4 linked regions of the Anolis sagrei genome follow. Each later gene encodes a partner of the first gene's protein in a complex. Links are inferred from orthologs where the notes say so. Each region holds a gene or a part of one and is shown in the gene's direction. Other genes may lie near its edges.

What was found.
Region 2: SNRNP40 (region 1) and E3 ubiquitin-protein ligase RNF113A share a complex: the UniProt entries of both Homo sapiens proteins name them as parts of the pre-catalytic and catalytic spliceosome complex. The link is inferred for Anolis sagrei from reciprocal best matches to the Homo sapiens genes SNRNP40 and RNF113A.
Region 3: SNRNP40 (region 1) and SF3B5 share a complex: the UniProt entries of both Homo sapiens proteins name them as parts of the minor spliceosome. The link is inferred for Anolis sagrei from reciprocal best matches to the Homo sapiens genes SNRNP40 and SF3B5.
Region 4: SNRNP40 (region 1) and EFTUD2 share a complex: the UniProt entries of both Homo sapiens proteins name them as parts of the minor spliceosome. The link is inferred for Anolis sagrei from reciprocal best matches to the Homo sapiens genes SNRNP40 and EFTUD2.

What each region holds. Positions count from the first base shown.
Region 1 is NC_090034.1:63,886,190-63,893,366, forward strand, and holds the start of SNRNP40 (U5 small nuclear ribonucleoprotein 40 kDa protein), read left to right. Parts: upstream 1-4,152; 5' UTR 4,153-4,230; coding exon 4,231-4,359; intron 4,360-6,582; coding exon 6,583-6,712; intron 6,713-7,177. Other genes in the region: ZCCHC17 (zinc finger CCHC domain-containing protein 17), read right to left, coding at 1,040-1,081. UniProt on the Homo sapiens protein: Required for pre-mRNA splicing as component of the activated spliceosome. Component of the U5 small nuclear ribonucleoprotein (snRNP) complex and the U4/U6-U5 tri-snRNP complex, building blocks of the spliceosome.
Region 2 is NC_090026.1:52,101,290-52,108,264, forward strand, and holds the start of E3 ubiquitin-protein ligase RNF113A, read left to right. Parts: upstream 1-3,971; 5' UTR 3,972-4,014; coding exon 4,015-4,114; intron 4,115-6,975. UniProt on the Homo sapiens protein: Required for pre-mRNA splicing as component of the spliceosome. As a component of the minor spliceosome, involved in the splicing of U12-type introns in pre-mRNAs. E3 ubiquitin-protein ligase that catalyzes the transfer of ubiquitin onto target proteins.
Region 3 is NC_090021.1:76,161,785-76,167,967, forward strand, and holds SF3B5 (splicing factor 3B subunit 5), read left to right. Parts: upstream 1-4,697; 5' UTR 4,698-4,854; coding exon 4,855-5,115; 3' UTR 5,116-5,672; downstream 5,673-6,183. UniProt on the Homo sapiens protein: Component of the 17S U2 SnRNP complex of the spliceosome, a large ribonucleoprotein complex that removes introns from transcribed pre-mRNAs.
Region 4 is NC_090026.1:47,532,236-47,540,142, forward strand, and holds the start of EFTUD2 (116 kDa U5 small nuclear ribonucleoprotein component), read left to right. Parts: upstream 1-4,898; 5' UTR 4,899-5,007; intron 5,008-7,907. Other genes in the region: CCDC103 (coiled-coil domain-containing protein 103), read right to left, coding at 482-614, 1,368-1,513, 4,426-4,542. UniProt on the Homo sapiens protein: Required for pre-mRNA splicing as component of the spliceosome, including pre-catalytic, catalytic and post-catalytic spliceosomal complexes. Component of the U5 snRNP and the U4/U6-U5 tri-snRNP complex, a building block of the spliceosome.

The sequences.
Region 1 (7,177 bases):
CGTGCCTGTGACAATGGCGGGATGGAAAGCAGGGCCTCCTCGGAGGATCTTAATCTCCGCGATAGTTCATAGAGGGAGATGCGTTCGGACAGGTAATTTGGGCCGGGGCCGTTTACGGCTTTATAGACCAAAGCCAGTACTTTGAATTGTGCCCGGTAGCAAACTGGCAGCCAGTGGAGCTGGCATAACATGCGAGTTGTATGCTCCCACTATGCCGCCCCAGTTATTAACGTGGCTGCCTTTCGTTGGACTATTTGAAGCTTCTAAGCAGTCTTCAAATACAACCCCACGTAGAGTGCGTTGCAGTAGTCTATCCTGGATGTAATGAGAGCATGGACCACTGTGGCCAAATCTGACTTCCCAAGGTATGGGCACAGCTGGCGCATAAGTTTTAATTGTGTGAAAGCTCCCTGGCCACCGCTGCAACCTAGGATTCCAGGCTCAGTGATGAATCCAGGAGAATTCCCAAGCTGCGAACCTGTGCCTTCAAGGGGAGTGTAACCCCATCCAGCACAGGTTGCGACCCTATACCCTGTTTGGCCTTGCGACTGACCAGGAGGACCTCTGTCTATACATGATTGCTTGGGTGCACATACAAATGAATGCAGTGGACCCTACTTCTGAACAGATATGCATAGGATTGTATTGTCATGCTGCATTTTTGTACACACTTCCTGGCAATTTTAATCAGAAACAATCACAGTATAATGTGGGTGCTATGTTGCAAGACCCGCAGTGAATACCTGAACCTGTAGATAACAGTGACCCTATTGTTTTGACTTGACCTGGACCAAAAGCATTTTGCAGAATTGCACTGGAGGATTGGGAAAGGCCCAGAAACACATCCAGAAAAAGGTATCATGGATACTGAATCAGTGAGTAATTCGGTACATTCTGTACATCTAAGCATATATTACAGAACTTCACTGTTGTAATGCTAGAAATTACAGAACACAACAACAGTTCTTAAAGTTGTTACAATGTTTTCCATAATGTTTCTTCTTGTTTCACTCTAAAACGTCAAAGTTACAACACTTACCTCTCCCTGGAATATGTCATACAGTTCTGGAAATACTTCCATTGTCTTAACTAGTGCAGCTTACTGGGAGATCACATAAATCTTCTGGTTACCCTTTCTTCTGTATGCTTTATGTTATTCCTTAGAATGAGACAAAAACAGACATGAAATATACTGCAACTGGTATTATCTACACAATTTAGGCAACATCCTGAATTATTATTATTATTATTATTAAACTTTATTTGTACCCCACTAGCATCTCCCGAAGGACTCGATGCAAAGTGCAGTGTGCAGAGAATCTTAAAGTTCTGGTAAAGTGCTTCTGGGACTCTAATAACGTGCTTACTGGAGTTTCCTATTCTGGAAAGGCACATCGGAACAGCCAGGTCTTCAAATTCTTCCTAAAGACTGCCAGTGTGGGGGCCTGTCTAATGTCTTTAGGGAGGGTGTTCCAAAGTCAGGGGGCCACCACAGAAAAGGCCCTGTCCCTCGTCCCCACCAACCGCGCCTGCGATGCAGGTGGGATCGCGAGCAGGGCCTCTCCAGATGAACGAAGGGAGCGCGTGGGTTCGTAAACGGAGATGCGGTCACGCAGGTAGGCAGGTCCCAAGCCGTTTAGGGCTTTGTAGGTAAGCACCTGCACCTTGAATTGGACTCGGAAAATAAACGGCAGCCAATGGAGCTCCTTAAACAGGAGGGTTGACCTCTCTCTGTAAGGAGCCCCAGTTAACATCCTGGCCGCTGCCCGTTGGACTAGTTGGAATTTCCGAGCAGTTTTCTAGGGCAGCCCTACGTAGAGCACATTACAGTAGTCCAGTCTAGAGGTGACCAAGGCATGGACCACCCCGGGCAGATCAGCCTTTGCGAGGTATGGTCGCAGCTGGCGCACAAGTCTCAATTGCACAAAGACCCACCCGGACACCTCCAACGCCTGAGCCTCAAGTGTAAGTGATGAATCCAGGAGGACTCCCAAACTGCGGACCTGTGACTTCAAGGGGAGTGCAACCCCGTCCAGCACAAGAATGTTTTAGCAGTATTTTTCAAATTACTAACACTAAAGCCCACCTTCCGCATGCACATGGTTTAGGGCTGCAATATTCCAGTGAAAGCAAAAACTTGAATTTTTGAAGTCTTTCCCACTCCCCACAAAATCATGTGTGTTACAGACTCCTTTCCCACCAACATCCCTGGTCCATATTTCCTGTTCCTACCTTGGCACCATGATGCCCCAGTCAGATTTTCAAAACCCCTCCTCCTTCCTAGGACACAGAAACCAATTTAAGCAGCTGGCAGCTGATTCACTTCCTCACTCCGCTCCTCCCTGAGTCTCCTCTCTTGCCAACAGTGTGAACCTGTCACTCTCTTTCTAACTTTGGTACAATAATACTGCATCAACCAGATATTCAATCCCACTTCTCATAGTGCCAGGTTGAAAGAAGTAGGCAAAGAGATCAAGCTAGTTAAGCTACACCTACAAAGTCACCAATAATGAAACCTACAAAAAAAGAATGTGAATGTGGAGGGTCAACAGTATACTAGAAATGAACAACTGGAGAGGTGAGGAATTACCTTGGCATGGGAACTTCCAAGGATTGCATTTTCCCAGCATGTGTCCCAAATCTGGGTATTTAAAAAGTTAAATAGGCCTTGCTATGTTCCCTAGAGCAGAGTTTCTCAAACTGCTCCTCCAGATGTTTTGGACTTCAGCTCCCACAATTTATAACAGCTGGCTGCAATTTCTGGGAGTCTGAAACACCTGGAGGAGCACAGTTTGATAAACACTGCCCTAGAGATCAAGGGGGCAAATTGACTTGGTTCCTATGAGTTTTTTGGGCTATATGACCATCGAGCTCATCACACTAGAGAATGAATCCACTTTAAATCTGGTTGCTACCTCTTGAAGAATTCTGGGGTTTGTAGCTTAAAGAAGAGCCTTGAACAGCTTCACTAAATTACAAGCCTCATAATTCTGCAGGAGGCAGAAACCAGATTTAAAGTGGATTCACTAGTGTGATGAAGTAGATGTTCCAGTTGCATTCCTTCCTGACGTTTCGCCTGCATCTGTGGCTGGCGTCTTCATAGGTCTACAGATGCAGGTGAAACGTCAGGAAATAATGCTACTGGAACATGACCATACAGCCCTAAAAACTCAAGCAACCCAGTGATTCAGGCCACGAAAGCCTTCAACAACACAAATGGACTATGTTTTAGGTTTCCCTGTATTTCCCCAGTCAAGGGCTTTTTAAAATCAGGTTTGCCAAAATTTGGGAAATGGGATTGGGGGGGGGGGTACAGAAAATGGGATTCAGAATGCCCATTGATTGTAGGTGAACTATAAGTCCCAGCAACTACAACTCCCAAATGTCAAGATTCTATTTTCCCCAAACTCTACCAGTGTTCACACTTGGGCATATTGAGTATTCATGTAGAGTTTGGTCCAGACCCATCATTGTTTGAGTCCACAGTGATCTCTGGATGTAGATGAACTACAACTCCAAAACCAAAGGACACTGCCCACGAAACTCTTCTAGTATTTTCTGTTGGTCATGGGAGAACTGTGTGCCAAGTTTGGTTCAATTCCCTCGTTGGTGGGGTTCACAATGCTCTTTGATTGTAGGTGAGCTATAAATCCCAGCAACTACAACTCCCAAATGACAAAATCAATTTTTTTGAGTGAAGGACATACATTGGGTTGTTAGGTGTCTTGTGTCCAAATTTGGTGTCAATTCGTCCAGTGGTTTTTATTTATATAGATTAATTAATTAATACTGAGGCTGGGTGGCCATCTGTCGGGGGAGCTTTGGTGGTGATTTTCTTGCATGAAGGCATGAGGGGGTTGGACTGGATTCGCCATGGGTTCTCTTCCAACCCAACTTCTTCGTAAGGCAAAGATGACTTGACGACAGTCAAAAACAACGAGAAGGCCCCCTCCCTGCCAGGGGATTACTTACTTCAGAGCCGTTTGACGCCTGTGGACGCTGTCCTCCGCCACTCAGCACGTCCGCCTTTCCGGAAACCCCAACAGAGGCGCTTTCTTCCTCCCAACCAATCGGCATACGGCGTACATAAGGGGTGGGCTCAGCCCCGTCCAATCGGGGTGCTCTATATTCCGAGAAGCTGCCGATTGGGTATGAGGCGACCAATGAGAAAGGAGGGAGCGCAGTCCTCTTTCGGGTAGGGTGTGAGGCCTGTTCTGTCTCTCCGCGGCTATGCTGGACCCGCAGAAACGGAAGGCGCCTACGGACTTGGCCTTGGTGGTGGCGGCGGCGAAGAAGCCCCGCCAAGACGCCGCCGGGGCTGGCCCTCCTTCGGGGCCCCCGGGCGCCCTGCTGCCCGCGGTGAGTGCACTGGCAGGCCGCAGGCCTCGGGCCTCGCCTCCCGGGTTAGACTCTACGGCAGAGGAAGTCGGCAGGCAGTGTCTTTTACCAGGCCTGGGCCAACTTGGGCCGTCTCTGCCTCCATTCAGTGTTTTGGACTGCAACTCCCACCGTTCCTCACAGCCGTAGGCCCCTTCCTTTTCCCTTTCCTTTTCCGCTTAAGCGGCCGAGGGGGAAAAGGAAAGGACCTGAAACTGCTAGGAATGGTGGGAGTTGGAGTCCAAAACACCTGGAGGGAAGGCCCATGTTGGCCCATAGATGGCATATACCCGGGTGGGTCAAAAAGTAATGCCTCCATGGCTCTAACTTTTATTTCTTTCCCAGCTACTGGACTGTCTATGCATGACATGATTGAGGTAACCTTACTCTACTGATTTAGTCTTTTCTTTTTTGGATTGACGGATTATTTATTTATTATTTAAACTTATATGCCGCCACTCCCCTGGGGCTCGGAGCGGCTTACAAGAATGGCTAAAATCTAACACAATTTAAAAGCAATTTAAAACAAATTAAAAACAGCAATATCAAACATTAAAAGCCTATCGAAACAGGTATGTCTTACATGCCCTGCGGAAAGCTGGGAAGTCCCGCAAGGCACGGACTTCAGGTGGCAGAGTGTTCCAGAGTGATGGTGCCACTGCTGTGAAGGCTCTGCGCCTGGTTGCTGTTAGACGCAAGGTCTTGACACTGGGAATTTCCAATAGATCTTGGTCCTCAGAACGGAGGGATCTCTGGGGTTGGAAGGGGGTGAGGCGGTCCCTCAGGTACATCGGCCCCAGACCATGCAAGGCCTTAAAGGTGAGTACCATCACTTTGAAAGTGATCCGGTGCTCAATGGGTAACCAATGCAGCTGCAGTAAGATTGGGGTTATGTGACATCTCATCGGAATTCCCGCAAGAAGCCGAGCAGCTGCATTTTGTACCAACTTGAGCTTCCGGATCACCGACAGAGGAAGGCCAATGTAGAGGGCATTACAGTAGTCCAGTCTTGAGATGACCGTGGCCTGGATCACCGTAGCTAGGTTGCCCCTGGACAGGTAGGGGGCCAGCCGTCTAGCCTGCCGCAGATGAAAAAAGGCAGTTCTGCTAACAGCTGAGACCTGGGCCTCCATCGTCAGCAGAGGGTCCAAAAGGACTCCCAGACTCTTTACCAATGATGATGGGCATAGCGCCTCGCCATCCAGGGTAGGCAGCTGGATATCCCCACTGCCTGGTTTACCCAGCCATAGGATCTCAGTCTTTGCTGGATTCACAACGTAAGAAAGGCCTTCTCAGAACCAGAGAAGGGATAAAGTAAACAGACAGTGGTCCCAATGACGCTTGAGCAACACTGGGTATATACACTAATACATCAAATAGAATAGAATAGCTTTATTTTAATCAGTTTTTAATTAGTTTTTCTTTTCTTTTTCTTTTAATCATTACATGTAGCCTGCCCATTGTCACTGTGATTGTGTTTACTGTAATTTTATATCGTTATGCATTCATATGTTTTATGTAATTATGATGTTGTTTATTGTTTTTGTTTTATTTTGCTGTAATTTGTTGTTTGGGCTTGGCCTCATGTAAGCCGTCCCGAGTCCCCATCAGGGAGATGGTGGCGAGGTTTTATTATATTATATTAATAAAGTTTATTATTATTATTATTATTATTATTATTATTATTTATTGTACTACTGCACAATGAAATTAAATGTCTTCTCCGACACACAACACAAAACACCCATCTCTCCACATTCTAATAGCTATGGCGCAGCCCTCAATGCCATATCAATGCGAAGCTGTGGGGTTCAACATAGCCAGAGCTATAGGATAAAACCTCTCAGTCTGTTTGAACTTGTCTTTGTCACCCTGTACCGTCTGCTAGATGGTAATAATTCTGTAGAATAATATGCTGGGTAAGATGGATCCCCAAGAATGCTCTGAGCTTTATTAAGGCAACGGGACCTATAAAGTCCTTCCAAAGAGTGGAGAAAGAGGGCAGCCAGTGCTTATCTTGGGTCTCCTGTTGAGATAATTCATGTAATTAAAAGATTTAGACTGGTTATAATGCTTAACTTTTCCTCTAAGATAAGAAGTTACCGGATATTAGAAGTGAAGTGCCTATACTATTCTTTTAATTTAATAGATGTCTATCTTCTTGTTGCCATAGAGACTTGAATGTGTTACACTTTCCTACTTTAGGGCCCTCCAAGATGTTCCTCTCTCCAGGCACCCATAATGCTGCTTTCAGGGCATGAAGGAGAGGTTTACTGTTGTAAGTTTCATCCTAACGGAGCAACTTTGGCATCAGCAGGATTTGACAGGTTGATCTGTAAGTCTGCACTATTAACTCATAAAAACATAGTGTTCTTCCTGATATTAAGAAATTTATTCCATTTAGTTAAGTCTGTATACATTTGCACATGTCTAAAAACCTGTCTTTGAAGAATTAAATATATTAATGAGGTTTTCATTTACCAAAACAATTGTTATTTCCAGAAAGAGGCATTTTCTGCTTGATGAAAGTGAAAGGGCATGGTGTTTCTTAAGATTATACATGTTGGCTGTAGCTTTTAATAGTTTAGTATATTGAAAACAGATAACATTTTAAAGCATGTACTGATTGGGATGCTTTTTACTTTGCTAAAACCTTTTTATCAAATTAAACATTTAAACTTTGCAACCATTGTTTAAATAATAATACAAAATTCTAGATCATGGGTCCTCAAACTAAGGCCCGGGGGCCGAATACGGCCCTCCAAGGTCATTTAACCGGCCCTCGCTCAGGGTCAACCTA
Region 2 (6,975 bases), on another chromosome or scaffold:
AGCATATGGAAGTTAGACGGTGCTAAATCTGGACTGCATGGAGGATGTCATATGGTGGTGAGATCCAGTCTCTGAAGTTTCAAGTCTGTACGCTTTTATTTCAGGCGTCAACATCCTGGGTACCCATTGTGCACAGATTTTCCAATAGCCAAGCAAAGCAATAATGTGACCCACACATTCTTGTGAAATGCTGGTTATGCTTGAAATTTCTCTCTGGGTGATACAACAATCGTCCTGAATCAATCTGTCAACCTTTTGCTTGTGAAACTCGGTGGTTGCTGTCACAGCACATCCAACTCTTTGTTTGTCACGCAAGACAGATGTTCCCACCTCAACATCTTTAAATTTACTCACCTAATGACACACAGTACTCACATCAACACAATCACCATAAACAGCTTGCATTCTCTGATGAATCTCCTTTGGGGTGACACCTTCTGCTGTCAAGAATTCAGTGACTGCACGTTGCTTAAGTTGCGTTGACCGACCGTCTGCGCAGGGTTCCATACTTTGCACTTTAACAACACAACTGTTCAATGCTAAAGCTTCCCGCCAAAATGGAACTGTAGAGGACAGTCTACAGTCTACAAGCCAGTACTGCCATCTGTTGAGGAGATACGAAGGTGGAGGCATTACTTTTAATTCAACCCTTGTATGTTTGGTTTCTACTGTTTCACAAGGGTATTTCTATAAATGCCCTAAACCTCCACACAACTGAATAAAATCCCACATTTTCTACTTTGAACTGGAATATATGGCAGTGTGGAAGGGCCCCTTATCTCACATTTTCATGGGCCTAGAACATAAGGACTACTAGGGCTTCATCTACACTGCCATATAAAATCCAAATTATCTGCTTTGAACTGGATTATATGGCAGTGTGAATTTACATAATCCTGTCCAAAGCAGATGAGGAATATTTGCTTTGATAATCTGAATTATATGGCAGTGTATATTCAGTCTGAATGTTGTTTGTATAAAGGCTGCCTTGGGGCCTTCTACACTGCCATATAATCCAGAATATCAAAGCAGATAATCCACGTTATCTGCTTTGAATTGGATTATCTGAGTCTACACTGCCAGATAATCCAGTTCAAAGCAGAGAATCTGGATTTTATACAGCTGTGTAGAAAGGGCCTTGGAGATCAAACCTACAGAACCTGTTCAAAACTTGGGGACTGCCTGTATTATAAGAGATTTGTGAATGCAGAATGCAATTTTAGTAATAAAAAAAATTGTTGCCAGTTGCTTGAAAGCTCTGGTTGGTTTCCAATTAACGGAGAGTATTCAGTTTGGCAAGAAAACAGATATGCTTGAAGCACTGTTGCAATATGGTCTTGGTGGAGCAATGTTGATTTTCGACTGCCACAAATGGCTTTGACTTGAACATCAGGTCCATCTCCCCTTTTCATAATCTGGCGATTTCCAGCTTCTCTTTCTTATGCTTCATGCTGTTCTCAGTCACAACCAACCTATTACATAATCTCACAAGTGGAATGTTATCTGTGAAGGTCACCCAAATGTAGAAAAGGCTACAACGTCCTTTGCAAGACAGAGAGAAAAGAATGCAAAGCCCATCAAAGCTTTCCTTCCAATGGCAAAACTCCTAAAAGAAGCTGCTTTTTCACCAATGATGGAGATTCACGTTGACCGACCCTTAAATTATTATTATTATTATTATTAACTTTATTTGTACCCCGCTAACATCTCCCGAAGGACTCGGTGTGGCTTACAAAGGCCAAGGCCCTCAATAAAACAACAGTATAACAAATACAACAAGAAAACTCATAAAGCAAACCAATAAACATTAAAGCAATAACAGTAAAACATTAAAACAATACATCATCATGACACATTTAAAACTAGGGCCAGGCCAAATGTAATAAATAAAATTAAAAGTGCTGGACATGACAGGTGAAATGTAAGGATTTTAGGGTAGGTGCGATGTGCAGACAATCTTAAATCTCTAGTAAAGTGCGTTTGGGACATGATGCTGGGAGTGTCCTATTCTGGAAAGGCACACTGGAACAGCCAGGTCTTCAAGCTCTTCCTAAAGACTGCCAACTTAGGGGCTTGTCTGATGTCCTTGGGGAGAGAGTTCCACAGTCGGGGGGCTACCACAGAGAAGGCCCTGTCCCTCGTTCCCACCAAACGCACTTGCAACACAGGTGGAATCGTGAGCGGGCCTCTCCAGATGAACGGAGGGATCGTGTGGGTTCATATACGGAGATGTGGTCATGCAGATAGGTGGGCCCCAAACCATTTAGGGCTTTGTAGGTGAGCACCTGCACCTTGAATTGGGACCGGAAAATTAACGGCAGCCAATGGAGCTCCTTAAACAGGAGGGTTGACCTCTCCCTGTAATGAGCACCAGTTAACAACCTGTCCGCCGCCCATTGGACCAGTTGAAATTTCCGAGCCGTTTTCAAGGGCAGCCCCACGTAGAGCGCATTACAGTAGTCTAATCTAGAGGTGACCAAGGCATGGACCACCCCAGCTAGATCAGCCTTTACATAAGAGTGAGATGTGAGAGTGGAACTTCCATGCATTCATCTATTTATGTGTGTTAGTGTGTGAGGTTCAGGGTACATCCACAATGCGCAAAAAAGAGTTATACTAAAAGTCCTCCCCTTTTCTCCTCTTTGCATATAAAATTTTAAAATAAAAACATATAATATATTTTCTATATGCATATACATACACATACACACATATTTAATGAATAATATATTTTATAGATGCGCAAAAAAGAGAGTAATACTAAAAGTCCTCCCCTTTTCTCCTCTTTGCATATATATATGTGTATATATATATATATATAATATTTTCTATATATATATATATATAATTTTAAAATAAAAATATATAATGTATTTTCTATATGCATATGCAAATACACACACATATTTAATGCATAATATATTTTATAGATGCGCAAAAAAGAGTTATACTAAAAGTCCTCCCCTTTTCTCCTCTTTGCATATATATATATATATATATATAATATTTTAATATATATATATAATTTTAAAATAAAAATATATAATATATTTTCTATATGCATATACATACACATACACACATATTTAATGAATAATATATTTTATAGATGCGCAAAAAAGAGAGTAATACTAAAAGTCCTCCCCTTTTGTCCCCTTTGCATATAGAAAATATAATACATATATATATTATATATATTAATAAAATATAATATATATATATGTAATTTTTAAAATAAAAATATATAATATATTTTCTATATGCATATGCATACACATACACACATATTTAATGCATAATATATTTTATAGATGAGCAAAAAAAAGTTATACTAAAAGTCCTCCCTTTTTCTCCCCTTTGCATATAGAATATATATATATATATATATGATATTAATAAAATATATATTTTATATATATATATATATTAAAATAAAAATATATTATATATATTATATATATAGAATATAGAATATAGAATATAATATAGAATATAATATATATATATATATTAATGAAAAATATATATTAAAATAAAATATATAATATATTATATATATATATATAATTTTTAAAATAAAAATATATAATATATTTTCTATATGCATATGCATACACATACACACATATTTAATGCATAATATATTTTATAGATGAGCAAAAATGAGAGTTATACAAAAGGTCCTCCGCTTTGCATATAGAATATATATATATATATATATATATATATATATAATTTTTAAAATAAAAACATATATTTTCTATATGCATACACATACACACATATTTAATGCATAATATATTTTATAGATGAGCAAAAAAGAGAGTAATACTAAAAGTCCTCCCCTTTTCTCCCCTTTGCAGAGCAGAGCGACCTCGGAAGCTCTTAACTGCGCGTGACTCTCCAATGCACAGTCGTGTCATCTATAGAACGCCTGACTTTAGAGACGCCAAGGGCTAGAGCGCCCCAAAGCGGTCCGGGCCTTTTCCCCTTCCGCTTGGACTCACAACCAAGATGGCGGACGAGAAGCCTGTTTGCAGCTTCCTCTTCAAGAAGCGTCGCCCCGCGCAGGGGAGGGCTCAGCGCAAGAGGCCCGCCAGTGACAGGGAATCCGGTGAGGAGCCCAGAACCGGGAAGGAGGGGGTCCCCGGGAAATGGGGGAGCCTTCGCCGACTTCTGTGGGTCTCCGTTCCTTGAGGGAGGGAGAATTTGGGCCCTGCTTTAAACAACAACGCTGGGGCCTGTGTTTTAAATCAGGCATTGGCGAAGACACCTATGACTATCCCTTGCTAATGAAGTTCAGCGGCTCGCCCGTGTGTCAGAAGCGAATTGGGAATACATTGGGTTGTTGTAGGTTTTTTCTTGCTATATGGCCATGTTCCAGAGGCATTCTCTCCTGACGTTTCGCCTGCATCTATGGCAAGCATCCTCAGAGGTAGTGAGGTCTGTTGGAAGTAGGAAAATGGCTTTATATATATGTAGAAAGACTAGGGCGGGACAAAGAACTCTTGTCTGTTGGAGCTAGGTGTGAATGTTTCAACTGACCACCTTGTTTAGCATACAATGGCCTGACTGTGCCTGCGGTAAACTTTTGTTGAGAGGTAATTAGATGTCCCTGCCTGCTTCCTCTCTGTTGTTGTACTGTTGCAATTTTTTGAGTTTTTTAATACTGGTAGCCAGATTTTGTTCAAATTCATGGTTTCCTCCTTTCTGTTGAAATTGTCCACATGCTTGTGGATTTCAATGGCTTCTCTGTGTAGTCCAGTATTTCTCAACCTTCCTAATGCCGTGACCCCCGAATATAGTTCCTCATGTTGTGGTGACCCCCCCCCCAACCATAAAATTGCTTTAGTTGCTAACTATAATTTTACTACTGTTATGCATCATAATGTAAATATCTGATATGCAGGATACATTTTCATTCACTGGATCAAATTTGGCACAAATACCCAATTCACCCAAATTTGAATACTCTTGGGGTTGGGAGGGGATTTATTTTTGTCATTTGGGAGTTGTAGTTGCTGGGATTTATAGTTCACCTACAATCAAAGAGCATTCTGAACTTCATCAATGATGGAGTTGAACCAAACTTGGCACAGAGAACCCCCATGACCAACAGAAAATACTGTGTTTTCTGATGGTCTTTGGTGACCACTCTGATACCCCCTCGTGATCCCCCCAGGGGTCCCGACCCCCAGGTTGAGAAACGCTGGTGTAGTCTGACATGGTGGTTGTGAGAGCGGTCCAGCATTTCTGACCCACCAAGAAAATCCAACAAATGCTACGTTCAGCAAAGGACAAGAGGGCTCCTCTCACCTCTGCAGGAGTCTACCGTATACCATGCAGCTGTGGACAAGTCTACATAGGGACCACCAAACGCAGCATTGCCCAAACACGAATCAAGGAACATGAAAGGCACTGCAGACTACTTCAGCCAGAGAAGCTTTCATGGCTGGAATCACTGGGTTGTTGTAGGTTTTTCCGGGTTATATGGCCATGTTCTACATTGGCTGTCTTCAGAAAGAACTTGAAGACCTGGCTTTTCCGATGCGCCTTCCCAGATTAGGAAATCTCCACTACCAAGTCCCATAAGCACTTTATCAGAACCAATGATTGCTGCACATCGCACTTGCCCTAGAAGCCCTATATACACCTCCTGTCACATCAGCACTTTTAATCTTGTACCCATTCTCTGCCCCGGCCATGTTTTATTGTGTTTAGTGTATTGTGCCTGTTGTTTATTTTGCTTTATTCTGTTTTTAATTGTTTGATTTGCTTAGATTGTATTGTTGTGTTGTGTGTTGAGGCCTCGGCCTGTGTAAGCTGCATCGAATCCTTCGGGAGATGCTAGCGGGGTACAAATAAAGTTTAATAATAATAGTAATAATAATAATAGAAGCATTTTCTCCTGACGTTTCGCCTGCATCTATGGCAAGCATCCTCAGAGGTAGTGAGGTCTGTTGGAAGTAGGAAAATGGGTTTATATATCTGTTGAAATTGTCCACATTTCTGTGTTCTCAAATAATATGCTGCATGGTGGAAACACAATATACAAACCATCTACAGACCCACCAAGAAAATCCAACAAATGCTACGTTCAGCAAAGGACAAGAGGGATCCTCTCACTATTGCAGGAGTCTACCGTATAACATGCAGCTGTGGACAAGTCTACATAGGGACCACCAAGCGCAGCATTGCCCAAACACAAATCAAGGAACATGAAAGGCACTGCAGACTACTTCAAGCGGAGAAATCAGCCATAGCAGAGCCCCTGATGAATCAACCTGGACACAGCATATTATTTGAGAACACAGAAATGCTGGGCTGTGTCAGACTACACAGAGAAGACATTTGGGGGTGGGGGTTATGAGTGATGATCACTTGTTAGTCTGTTAGGGGTATAGTGTCCAAATTTTGTGTCAATTCATCCAGTGATTTTTGGGTTATGTTAATCCCACAAACAAACATTACATTTTTATTTATAAGATACTAGCTGTCCCCTGCCAGGCGTTGCTGTGGCCCAGCCTGTGTATATGTGTTTTGTGTGTGTCTGTATGTGTATATGTGTAAATATGTGGTTTTGCGCATGCGCTGTAGTGTATTTTTTGTTTTTTGGCTTTTTAAGTCCCTTCTGTGTTTTTCAGTGTTTTTATGAGTGATTGTCACTTGTTGGCCTGATAGGTGCATTGTGTCCAAATTTGGTGTCAGTTTGTCCAGTGGTTTTTGAGTTAAGTTAATCCCACAAACGAACATTACATTTTTATTTATATAGATTATTAGCATAGCACAGGAGACAAGATGGAACTGTCCCCTGGCCCTCCCTCTTTTCACTCTGGCTCAGAGCAGCAGTTGGTGCTGGGGGGAGGGGTCCCCAACTGATGACATATGCAAGAGACAAGATGGAACTGTCCCCTGGCCCCCTCTCTCTTCACTCTGTCCCAGAGCAGATACAGAATACATGAATATGCTGGGTTA
Region 3 (6,183 bases), on another chromosome or scaffold:
ATATCTGGATTTATCAGGCAACAGTCAATACAAGCAACAGAGGGCTGTCTCCTGTTGATCAGGGCACAGCATCTCTGGTGCAACAATCAGAACGAGGATCCCTTTCACAATCCTTCCTTCCCTGCATCAGAGGTCACTGGCAGGACAGAGTGGAACTCTCCATATGTGTCCTGTAACTGATTGCTTTTTCGTTCAATTGATTGTTCTGTTCCTGTCATATGAATTTTAAAAGTTGCTTTGTGATGGATTTAAAGGCACATTTTTTCAACCTACATTTCATCATGTAAGAGGGTTTTTTTTTAGAAAGGCATTTTCTAGTCTTAATTGGTTCATATGAGTGCACTACATTTTTTTGCTATTAGTTAATCTTAACCGTGTAATGTCCTAACTATTCAAAGAGAGAATTATGATTTTTTTTTTGTTTAAAGTGGTAATCTCAACCTGCTGTTGAAAGGAGAATGTCCCAGCTAAGCTGTTCTGGTTCCTCACATTAGAGACAGTATTAAAGGGATATTCCTAGCTTTGTATGTAAATCTTTTATTAACTTTCTCAGAGGTCTTATCTGGCGACATACTTTATGTTTACAGTTGGATTTTGCCTTGTGCAGAGTAAAGATATTAGACTTCTGTCAAGATAAGGATTGTATGACTCCATTGTTATCAGCAAATTCTTAGAAAGAATGTTCTAGTAGAGTTTTAATGATGATAGGCAGCTGTGCCACTGAGAATATATACATGACACACTACGTGCATTGACTAGACCAGTCCCTCTTGAAGTCACGTTCAGCTGAGTTTGGTTTAGCAACATTGAGCTTTCCATTATGACATTAATGTCATGTTACAGTATTAATAATTGAGATTATCACGTGATAATGTGAAGCTTACAACACAAAGTGACTCACTGAAAATTAAAGATAGGTCATATGATAATTTCCAGCTTTTTTTCTCCATAATCTCTTTCTTCATATCTGTTGTCCACAACTAGTGGAGAGAAAGCATGGTCCTCCAGGAGTTGCTGCATCATAACTCCAGCCTTCCCTTTTGGATATGGTGGGGCAGATGAAAGCTGGAATCCAAATATTGAAACTAGGGAAATTGGGCCTCTAGAACCACCAGGAAATTCAAAAGATGGCTGAGATAGAGATACTTTTGCTTTCAAAGGGTCCGAAGGACCCAGACTTTACTTCATACACACATTTAAAACATTGCTTTAAATTACCTTTATATGTCCACGTTGTATATTAAATACAAAGACATTTCGTATTTAAACTTGAGTACCATCCTCAATATATTTTATTACGACTGTATATGGAAATACAGGTATTCCAATTTTTAAAAAAGAAATCCTAAATAAGTCTGATTCCAAGCTGTTTGGACACAGGCTCCTCAACGTGTACAAAGAGGCAGCTGATTTGAAAGGAGTTGTAAGGAGGGACAGGGAAGACCAAAACTGGGAGCTTGGATTCAATTGTTCCAGACACCAGGGGTTGGTCTTCAGTGTCTGAGATTCTAACCACAAACTAATGAAAAGTTAGAACAAACTTCTCTAGACACATTAAAAGAGCAACCTTAAGAGAACAGAACATAGCGCTAAGTAAACATAACTTTTCAAGAAGTGTGATGTTCTTCCTGAGGGCAGATGTGGTATTAAGAGACTTGTGACTTTTTGCAGGAAAGAAGATCATGGAAAAGTCCATGTGGCTGTGGTCCAGACCTTGGCTTTGGTAAGAACAGCATTTGGGGCCACCAGGAATAGGTATTCTTGGGAGCAAGGCTCTCTGCCAAACCCCTGGCTTTCATAGCAAAAATCCCAGCAGTGATTCAATACAAATAAGGCATTTCACCAAGCAGCAACCTAGAACACTGGATTCATGAGAATGTATGAAAAACTGAGTACATATACCTGTCTCCTTTAACAGTATAACAAATATCCTAAAAGTGATGATCACAAAACCCTTGCCAACTGATAATACGCATATAGAATCGTAGAACTGTTAGTGACGGAATAGTATTGAAGGTCATCTAGTCCAATTCTCTGTCAATGGAAGATCCCACAGTTGAAGCATACCTGAAGGTGGCCATTCAGCCATAGGATAAAAACGCCTGGTGAAAAAGAGTCCATTGATTATTGAGGCAGTCCACTATTGAAGAGCATTTTATTTATTTCAGTTGCTTTATTATTGGTAAAATTCCTGGAAATGAACTAAAAGCTCTTTTTAAAAAAGCCAGTTCTAAAAGCAAATGTCAACAAATGTTTAATAATATCTTTCAGTAAATTCCCAGCCAACAAAACACAGGAATGCACTGGTTTAGTGGGGAATTGTTTGGGAGTGTTCGATTCAAGCACTCTGATTGGCTTAATGTTAATAACAGCAACAACAGCAATAACAACAATTATTTGTTACCTTCCTCTTCTCATGGCTCTAAGGCAATGTACAACATAATTAAAACATAGAGATAAATATGATACATTAAAATACATATATTAAAATACACAGAGCAAAGAAGGTTTAGTGACCCACAGACATGGGAACATTTCTTGGACTATGATCATACCATGATGTGTTGTCTGTAGTCCATCAAATTATACAGTCATTCACTCTAGAAAAGACTAACACGGAAGTCTTCTAAATTCTAAAGTATTAAAGCCACAAGCCTCACTTTATGAACTGTTTAGGAATTCTCTGGGTTTCTCATACCATACAGCACCCATCGAGAATATGTATGTTGTCTTCTCACTCAGAACAGATAACTCTTGACACCCAGTGGCTGATGAGATTAACTGCAGAAGCCAACTTGTCCCGCAATCCTTTTAAAGTCACTTTAAGATATTGGGAATTTCAATTGTTATTGTTTGCAAGCCTGGCTTAGAATCACACCTTTTCCTCATTACCCTTTTGCAGCCAGCTATTTCTGGATTCTTGTTTGCAGCATTGTTACTCCTGTGTTTCCATTCTGAATTATAACAGAGGCTCCATTGACAAAGACCTTTTAATGCAGTTCAAAGGTGGCTTCAAACTACAGACAGCAAACTCCTACAAAAGCATGTGAAAGAAAGCTTTTAGTGCACATCAGTGCTCTCTCTCTGTGGTTTATGTCATCACCATAAGAGCCTCAAACTGATTTCCCATGTAATCAATCATCTACAGAGCAAAACCACTTTCTTCAATACCCATTTGGAACTGCATTGAATGGTCTGTAGATGGCTCAAAGACAATGTAATTTGTACTAGCACAGGGTCTAGGAGGACTCAGGCCTATTGGAAAAACACTTAATCCATAATTTCAGATGAAGGAAGATTTCAACATAGCTCTCTATGGGGAGGACCAGGGCGGCTTGCATGTGTGCAGAATCCTAGAATCAGTGAGTTGAAAGAGTTTTTGTGGGCCATCCAGTCCAATCGCGGCCAAGAAGCTGGAGAATCACCTTCAAAGCACTCCTGACAGATGGCCATCCCACCTTTGTTTAAAAGCCTCCAAAGAAGGAGCCTCCACCACACTCCAGGGCTGAGAGTTCCACTGCTGAATAGCTCTCACAGTTAAGGAAATTCTTCCTCATGTTCGGGTGGGATCCCCTTTCTTGTAATTTGAAGCCATTGTTCTGCATCCTAGTCTCCGAGGCAGCAGAAAACAAGCTTGCTCCCTCCTCCCTATGACTTCCCCGCACATATTTATAAATGGCCATCATGTTTCCTCTCAGCCTTCTCTTCTGCAGGCTAAACATGCCCAGCTCTTCAAGCCGCTCCTCAATAATAATAATAATAATAATAATAACTTTATTTATACCCCGCCACCATCTCCCCAAAGGGGACTCAGGGCGGCTTACATGAGGCCAAGCCCAGGAATGCATTACAATACAGTAACAAAAAACAGAAAGCAATATCATAATAACACATTTCAGGTTGACATCTCCCTTAAATTGCAATGCCCAGAATTGCCATGTTGTTGTTTTTTTATGAGAAGGCACCTAAGACAAAGCGCCTCTTGTAGTTCCGAAGAGGACAAAGCTGGGAGCACTGGCCTTCTCAGCCAACTCTGTTTCCTCAAATGTTACTTTTCATTGCTGTGCTTCATACATAGGTTGTAATCAAAGTTTAGTAGCCTCAGAGAGAGGCCCTGTCCTGTTCGAAGCCAATCCTGGATTGAGTTTGTGGAGGCACACATTCGTTTTTATCGGTCTTTCCAAGTAACTTGAGTGTGCATCTATACTGTAAAATTAACGCAGTTTGGCACCACTTTAACGGCCATGCCTCAATTAAATGAGTTTTTACACGGTCTTTAGGCTTCTCTCTTCCAAACGGCTTCTGCTTCACCAAACTACATCTCCCAGGGCTCCACAGCACTGAGCCGGGGCGGTGACAGCGAGACCAAACCGCATCAAGCTTTGAGAGAACCATGTTCTAAAGAGATTGGTGTCCAACAATGCCTTTAAATGCGCCCATTTTGGCCTCCAACTACAGCCTCCAGTCTCATAGAATCATAGAGTTGGAGGAGACCTCGTGGGCCATCCCGTCCAACCTCCTCTCAAGAAGCCTCCCTTTCGAGTTCCCGCCCTTGCGTCCCCCGGGAAATAAGAAATGAAACCCCTTCTCTCATTCGTTGGAGGGAAGCAGAGGACAAGAAATACTATTGGCTGCTAGGGTTATAAGTCCCGCCTTCCAACAAAGCGGAAACAGAAAGACGGGAGAGAGCGTATGTGTTTCTTAATCCGGAAGCGGAAGCGCCCTTGGCCACGCAAAGTTTGTTCGTTTGCTTTGGCCTTCATTTTTTTTTCTTCCTGAGAGGCGCTTGGCGGGCAGCTTGAAGGCCGCGGAGAGTTTGCCGGTGTTTGTGAAGCCGTTGCCGTTGTTGCCGCCATGACGGACCGCTACACCATCCACAGCCAGCTGGAGCACCTGCAGTCCAAGTACATCGGGACGGGCCACGCGGACACGACCAAGTGGGAGTGGCTGGTGAACCAGCACCGGGACTCCTACTGCTCCTACATGGGCCACTTCGACCTGCTCAACTACTTCGCCATCGCCGAGGACGAGAGCAAGGCCCGCGTCCGCTTCAACCTCATGGAGAAGATGCTGCAGCCCTGCGGACCCCCCGCCGACAAGCCCGACGAGTCCTGAGGCCGCAGCAGGAGCGCCAGAGGGAGGGAGCGAAGCGAAGCGGCTGAAGGGAGGCCTCGTCTCGGCCCCGATCGTCCTGGCGGGACTGGACTCTTCACGGCAGGCGCCACCTGGACTCTGAAAAACCGCCTCCTTGGCACCCGGAGAAACTCGAGGCCGGCCGTTTCCCTTCGCCTCCTGATTTCGGACACAGGCGTCGCTTGCTTTCCGGAGTCGCCAGGACACCTTTCCCATCCCTCTTAACTCCGAAGCGTTTTAACCGCTACTAAATGCCACGCATGGTGTTTTCTCACTCGCTTGTTTGGATTCTTAATTTGTGCGGCGAACAGATTAAAAATGTGTTGCATTTTAGCAACTTGATACACCCGGGTTGTTTTCTAGCTTAATTCATATAGCGAACGTGACGCCAAAAATAATTCTGTGGAGTTAAATGCATAAGGTGTTTTCTCGCCTCATTGTCTAGATGGTTAATTCATGAACTGAAACGAAGTTCTGTAAAGTCAAATGCAACTGTTTTCATAACTTAATAAATGCCATGCAAGATGTTTTCTAATCCACTTATCTGGGTGGTTAATTCATATAGTACACCTGAACCAGGGGCGGCTCAACCCATTACGCAAAGTAAGCATTTGCAGTATAGTTGATTTTGCCCAGGGGCACTCTTGGGGGAAAATAGACCTTGACATATGGGAGTTGTAGTTACTGGGATGTATAGTTCACCTACAATCAAAGAGCATACTGAACTCCACCAATGATGGAATTGAACCAAATATGGCACACAGAACTCCCATGATGAACAGAAAATATATATCAGTGAGTGGTGGTGGTGGGGGGGAATACTGTTTGCTTACCGTTGAAAATTACCTAGGGCCGTCTCTGCTGAACCAAGAAATAAATCTGTAGTGTTAAACGTAGTTATTTATTTATTTCAGATTTTAAACATTTATATCCTGTCCTCACCACCACCCGGGGGGGGGGGGGGGGGCTTAGGGCAGCTCACAACCATTAGATACCAAGCAAACAGTAACAATAAAATCACAATTACAACATTATTTTAAAACAACTGAG
Region 4 (7,907 bases), on another chromosome or scaffold:
TGCATTTAGCACTAATATTGGAAATACTACATGTTATTAAATGCCTATTTCTGCATGTATTAAGCAAAGTCCTATGATGTTCAAAATATGCAGATAGTTTCCATGCAATTTTATTTTTTTTAATCTTGTAGAATAAATAATGGGCAAAAGGTAGGATATTAGGTAGGATATAAGGGACAAAATTAACATAATTTTAAAAAGACATTCTCAAAGATGGGGAAGAGGATTCATCATTGACACAGGATTTACACTCTGAACATTGAAGCAATTTGTTATTGGTATATGCTTGCTTCATAGTTCCTCATTAAGAGGAAGAAATGTCAATATCAAAAATTATATAAAAAGGTATATGCAGCAACATACTTCCAGTCTCTACATTAAAAGAAAATCTGTTAAAACCAAGAATTACTGTGATTTTTAAGAGGAATCTGGCTCGGAAGAGACCACAGATTTAAAAAAACTTCAAGAACAGCTACTTCACCTGAGACAATTCTATTCCACTTTCTTCTTTGCAGTTTGATTTAAATGCACAGGAATTCCATAACATGCTTCTTTTGCTCCTCATTTTGTCCCCTTTGTCTAAAGGCTTTAAGTGTGATGCTCGAACAATATCCCTACAGGAAACAAAAAAGTGTGCATTATTAAAAGTTCAACAGTAGTCTGATTAAATACAAAGTTGTGGAGTTAAGAAAGCGTCTACTTTTTGAAATTTTTTCTTTAATAAAATTATTAAAGGCACAACAATTTTACCTAGTATTGTATTCATTCAAGTGCCAAGTACCTGTTCAGCTTGTCCAAAGGACAAAGAAACTTCAGATGCCTACAAACAACTAAAACAACTAAGTCATATGGTAAAGTGAATACCTTCAATGTGCCACAATTTAATGTGGTAGCCTGCATATGGCAAAATTTACATACTCTAACTACCTGCATTTGTAGCTGCCCGTAAAAAATGCTGCTCCATTTAATCCTTTTATAGGATGCCTCCTTTCTCTCAGATATCCAAACAATAAAACTTGGAAGTGGAAGAAGCAGCACTTTATTACCACTTTGCAAAACAGTAATGGGTGTGCACGAACATTTCATGTTCTATTTACTGTATAATTACTATTAACAACATACCTATTAATGTCTATAGAACAGATTTCACTGTGGGGGAAAGTCATGCCAGTTGTTCTTGGTGCAAGTCTGTTTTAATTTGGGAACTGCTGGTTAGTATGCCATATACATCAGATGCTAAACTGTATTAACTTAACAGCTGTATATGGATTGAGATAAAATCACAAGCAGCTGCTCTAAAGATAAGTATTTTGTTTTATCTACCCCCTCTTTCTCATCAAGAAAGGAATTAATAAGACTCAAGAAACCTGAATTCTTCATAGGATGCTACTTTCTGGCGCACTGCTCGAAATTTGGCATCGTTTTCTCTCTTGTACTTCTCATCACTGGCAATCGCTTGTTCCAACTCTTTTTCCAAAGTACGGAAATCTATCATGCCTTCCATTCTTAAGACCTAGGAGCAGCACAGGTAAACTAGTATAATATTTAATTAAAACAACAACTCTTATGCCAAAAATTGGGGCTGAACAACTTTAACTGGAGGATACAAAGATATTAAACAAGAGGAAGAAAGATCAGTCCAAATAAATCATAAGCGAATATATGCACAAACACACATACAGAAACCAGATGATATTAGTTACCATCTGAGCATACTGTTATGCATTTTCCACTTCCCAAAGTAACCACAGTCAATGGGCTGAAGGAGCCCTACAGAAGCCAGCTTTTTAAGGGAGAAAGAACAGATTTACAGCATCTTTTGAATAACTAGTCAATTTTACAGCTATATTAGCAGGCCCCCCTTAGGGCCAAATTGATTCAGCATATTGGCAAATCCAGATCTTGGCAGGAGTTGCTTGCACCCTGACGCGTGGTGCTTCACATTAAGCCAGCTCACAACTCCTAACTCTTTTTTTCTTCTCAATTCAAGCAGCAAAACCTGGCTGCATACCAATTATTTTAACTGTAAGAGAGCATCTCCTCGCCAAATTCAGATGGGTACAAATGGAATCTATTACAAATGTGCAAGGAACACTTTTGTTCGGCATTTAAAGTCAATCAGGTATGACCTTCTTCACAACATCATCTTCCTTGGGTACAGTTTTTGATTCTAGCCCAAGAATAAGACTGCATTTGAAACATACCAATCACTCCCAGCCCCTGTTGATTTATAGATCATGATTTGTGTGTGTGTGTGGACACACACACCTTTATAAATCTCAGAGTTCATTGAGGCTGCTGATAACACTGTCCAACACACATTCTGGTGCTTTAAATGTTACATTTGTTTTTGGGTATACTGGACTTGTTGATTCCCAAAATGTCACCAGTTTTCCCCTATCAGCTCTACCTTTGTCATGTAGCAGTCTTCATCTGCTCTCCCATAAAAAATCATAACTACATCTAAGAAACTAGAGCTGATGCTAGACAGTGCAATTTTCTGAGTAATCACCCCAAAGAACAACAGAAACAAGCCTAAAAAACAAGACACTAAGGGTCCTTCCACACAATCATATAACCCAGAATATCAAGGCAGATAATCCACACTATCTGCTTTGAAGTGGATTATCAGTGTTCACACTGCCATATAACCCAATTCAAAGCAGATTATGTGGGATCTTATATAGCTGTGCGGAAGGAGCCCAATAATTATTTTGTTTGGGCTATGCAATTCTCTCTTCTGCACCAGTTGTACAATTTTAGCTACAAAAGCATCAGCACTGTGAGCATTAAATGGAGTCCCCAGTGGTACAATGGGTTAAACACTTGTGCCAGCAGGACTGCTGACCAACAGGTCAGCAGTTAGAAACTGGGGAGAGTGGGTTGAACTCCCTCTGTCAGCTCCAGCTCCCCATGCGGGGAGAGGAGAGAAGCCTCCCACAAGGATGGTAAAACATCAAACATCTGGGCGTCCCCTGGGCAATGTCCTTGCTGACGGCCAATTGTCTCATACAAGAAATGACTTGCAGTTTCTCAAGTTGCTCCTGATAGTAAAAACAACAACTGAGAGCATTAAAAAATAGAGAGAACACATTCCATAAGATGGAGATACATTTCCAGTATCAAGAGACATTAATATAGTAGGCTCTCAGGGCCTTCCTCACAGCCATATAACCCAGAATATCAAGGCAGATAATACATAATATCTGCTTTGAACTTGGTCACCTGAGTCCACATTGCTGTATAATCCAGTTCAATATGGATTTTATACAGCTGTGTGGAAGGGGCCTAAATAAGGCACTTCAGGCCTCCACTATTGGGAGACTGCAACTCCCAGCAACAAAGCAGTCTCCCAATAATGGAAGCCCGAATGGTTCCCACTCCTGTTTTAAATCATAAACTTCTGTGGGTCTCTTTTAAGGATCACTACATATTTTTTAAGGATCACATATCTATGAGCCCCCGGTGGCACAGTGGGTTAAAGTGCTGAGCTGATGAGCTTGTTGACCAAAAGGTCACAGGTTCGATTCCGGAAGCGGCGTGAGCTTCCTCTGTCAGCTCTAGCTTCTGCCAACCTAGCAGTTCGAAAACATGCAAATGTTAGTAGATCAACAGGTACCGCTCCGGTGGGAAGGTAACGACACTCCATGCAGTCATGCCAGCCACATGACCTTGGAGGTGTCTATGGACAACGCTGGCTCTTCGGCTTAGACATGGAGATGAGCACCACACCCCAGAGTCAGACATGACTGGACTTAATGTCAGGGGACAACCTTTACCTTTTACATATCTATATAAATAAAAATGTAATGTTCGTTTGTGGGATTAACAGAACTCAAAAACCACTGGACGAACTGACACCAAATTTGGACACAATACACATATCAGGCCAATGAGTGACTATCACTCATAAAAACACTGACAAACAAAGCAGAAGAGACTTAAAAAGCCAAAAAAGCAAAAGATGCTACAGCGCATGCACAAAAATGTCTCTCCCAGCAAACAAAACACACAATAGCATAGCCACACTCTCTTCCGGACTACAGCTCCCAGCATCCCCTAGACCAGGCTCTTTAGGGGAGGAGGATGATCCAAATGCACTGCTTTCAAAATGCAATTTCCTTGGATTTCTTTGAGAGCATCCTATTCCCTGAATATTTTCAATTTCCTATTCCTGGACTGCAACTTCCAGCAATCCTCCAGATAGATAGATTAGAGATAGATAGATAGATCAGGACTGCTGGGAGTTGCAGTCCAAGAATAGGTAGAGAAGGAAGAAAGGGGAGAAAGAGGAAGGGAAGAAAGGAAGAAGAGAAGGAAAGGGGGAAAAGGGAAGGAAGGAAAGAATTAGGGAAGGAGAGCAAGAAAGAAGAGAAAAAGGGATGGAGGGTTGGCCACACAACGCTTAGCGAGTACAACTAATACTTCAGGAAAATTTGCACTGGAAAATCCACACCAAAAGCACGAAACCGAGAGAAGGCAGCTTTTCAGTCTACACAGGGCGCTGGAGTTCGTTCTCCAGGGTAGGCCTCGCGTTCCCATGCCAACGAGGTTTCCATAGCAACCAGGACACTCTCCGAGGTGGGTAGGGCCTTCCAGCCGTGGAGCTAATAGCTCAACTCCGTATTTCCTATAGACGAGGGAATGAAAGGCCCCCTGTTGCCTACGGATGAGGCTGTCTACTCAGTTGCCGGAATGATTTCCTCTATTTTCCTCCATATATATCGGTCTTGGTAGATAGCCATAAATACAACAATACAATAATATAACACGTTATTGTTGTATTATGCCTTTCCACCAAGACCGATATATATCGGGACTGCACCTTTAAAGAAAGAAATGGAGGAAATCATTCCGGCAACTGAGTAGACAGCCTCACCCGGAGGCAAGAAGGGGGCCTTTCATTCTGTCGTCGCAGCTCGCGCGACGGGGAAAGAGAACGTAGCAACGAACGTGCGCCGCAGCCTGTGCTGAGGAAGGCGGTAAAGCAAAGGGAAAAGCAGGAAGGTAGGGCTGCATGCCTGTCTTAACTGAATATGAGGGTTTAAACTGTCTAAACTGAATATGAGGGTTTTCCCCCCTCTAACTGTACAACTAGTACATTGTTAAAATACGACCCAACAGCATAGTGTGTAAGGACAACCTCGAAAAGACTTGCTAGAATTGCTTTTAGCTGGAAGACCTACAGTTGAGCAGGACTCAATGGCCCCTGAGCCTCCTTCCAGCCCTATCATTTCTCTGGCTAATGTATTGTTGAAGGCTTTCATGGCTGGAATCACTGGGTTGTTGTAGGTTTTTCGGGCTGCATGGCCATATTCAAGCTGGGTTTAGAAAAGGCAGAGGAACGAGAGACCAGGTTGCCAATATCCGCTGGATAATGGAGAAAGGCAGGGAGTTTCAGAAAAACATCTATTACGGCTTCATTTACTCTAAAGCCTTTGACTGTGTGGATCATAATAAATTGTGGCAAGTTCTTGGTGGTATGGGCATCCCAAGCCACCTTGTCTCTCTCCTGAGAGATCTGTACAAGGACCAAGTAGCAACAGTCAGAACTGACCACGGAACAACAGACTGGTTCAAGATTGGGAAAGGCGTACGGCAAGGCTGCATACTCTCACCCAACCTTTTAAACTTGTATGCAGAACACATCATGCGATGTGCGGGGCTTGATGAATGCAAAGCTGGTGTGAAAATTGCTGGAAGAAACATTAACAACCTCAGATATGCAGATGACACCACTCTGATGGCCGAAAGCGAGGAGGAACTGAGGAGCCTTCTAATCAAGGTGAAAGAAGAAAGCGCAAAAGCTGGGTTGCAGCTCAACATAAAAAAAAAAACCCAAGATTATGGCAACAAGAATGATTGACAACTGGAAAATAGAGGGAGAAAATGTGGAGGCCGTGACAGACTTTGTATTTCTAGGTGCAAAGATGACTGCAGATGCAGACTGTGGCCAGGAAATCAGAAGACGCTTACTTCTTGGGAGGAGAGCAATGTCCAGTCTCGATAAAATAGTAAAGAGTAGAGACATCAGACTGGCAACAAAGATCCGCCTAGTCAAAGCCATGGTATTCCCTTTAGTAACCTACGGATGTGAGAGCTGGACCTTAGGGAAGGCTGAGCGAAGGAAGATCGATGCTTTTGAGCTGTGGTGTTGGAGGAAAGTTCTGAGAGTGCTTTGGACAGCGAGAAGATCCAACCAGTCCATCCTCTAGGAAATAAAGCCTGACTTCTCATTGGAGGGAAGGATACTAGAGACAAAGTTGAAGTACTTTGGCCACATCATGAGGAGACAGCAAAGCCTAGAGAAGACAATTATGCTGGGGAAAGTGGAAGGTAAAAGGAAGAGGGGCTGACCAAGGGCAAGATGGATGGATGGCATCCTTGAAGTGACTGGACTGACCTTGAAGGAGCTGGGGGTGGTGACAGCCAACAGGGAGCTCTGGCGTGGGCTGGTCCATGAGGTCACGAAGAGTCAGAGATGACTGAACGAATGAACAACAACAACATGGCCATATTCTAGAAGCATTCTTTCCTGACGTTTCGCCTGCATCCTCAGAGGTTGAGAGGTCTGTTGGAACTAGAAAAATTGGGTTTATATATCTGTGGAATGTCCAGGGTGGGAGGAAGAACTGTTGTCTGTTGGAGCTAGGTGTGAATGTTTCAATTGGCCACCTTGATTAGCATTTGAAGGCCTGACAGTTTTTTGGTGTGGCTTGTTAGTGCCTGGGGAAATCCTTTGTTGAGAGGTGATTAGCTGTCCCTGATTGTTTCCTCTCTGGAGTTTCCCTGTGTTTGAGTGTTTTACTGTTATGATTTTAGAGGGTTTTTTAAATAGTGGTAGCCAGATTTTGTTCATTTTCACGGTTTCCTCCTTTCTGTTGAAATTGTCCAGTAGCACTTTATTAGACTTTAAGATTGCTTGCACACTGCACTTACTCTAAAATCTGACATACCACCTGTCACATCAGCACTTTTAATCTGTACCCATTATTATTATTATTATTATTATTAGCTTTATTTGTACCCCGCTAGCATCTCCTGAAGGACTCGATGCGGCTTACAAAGGCCAAGGCCTCAAAACACAACATAACAATACACAACCTAAAGCAAATAAAAAAATTAAAAACAGTTAAAGCAAAATTAAACAATAAGCAATAAACAATACACCAAGACACAATAAAACTGGGCCGGGCCAGAGTAATGGGTACAGATTAAAAGTGCTGAAGTGACAGGTGATATGTAAGGATTATAGGATAAGTGCAGTGTGCCAGCAATCTTAATTCTAATAAAGTGCTTCTGGGACTTGTTATTGGAGTTTTCACTACATTTGGCCCGGCCCCAGTTTTATTGTATTTTGGTGTATTGTTTTATTGTTCTGTTGTTTTTGATATTGCTTTAATTGTTTTGATTTGCTTTGAGTTGTGTATTGTTATGCCATGTTTTGAGGCCTTGGCCTTTGTAAGCCGCATCGAGTTCTTCGGGAGATGCTAGCGGGGTACAAATAAAGTTAATAATAATAATAATAATAATAATAATGGATTTCAATGGCTTCTCTGTGTAGTCTGACATGGTGGTTGTTACAGTGGTCCAGCATTTCTGTATTCTCAAATAATATGCTGTGTCCAGGTTGGTTCATCAGGTGATCTGCTATGGCTCACTTCTCTGGCTGAAGTAGTCTGCAGTGCCGTTCATGTTCCTTGATTTGTGTTTGGGCAATGCTGCATTTGGAGGTCCCTATATAGACTTGTTCACAGCTGCATGGTATATGGTAGACTCCGGCAGAAGTAAGTGGATCCCTCTTGTTCTTTGCTGAATGTAGCATTTGTTAGATTTTCTTGGTGGGTCTGTATATAATTTGTATGTTGTGTTTCCTCATCAGCTTCCCTATGCAATGAGTGGTTCCC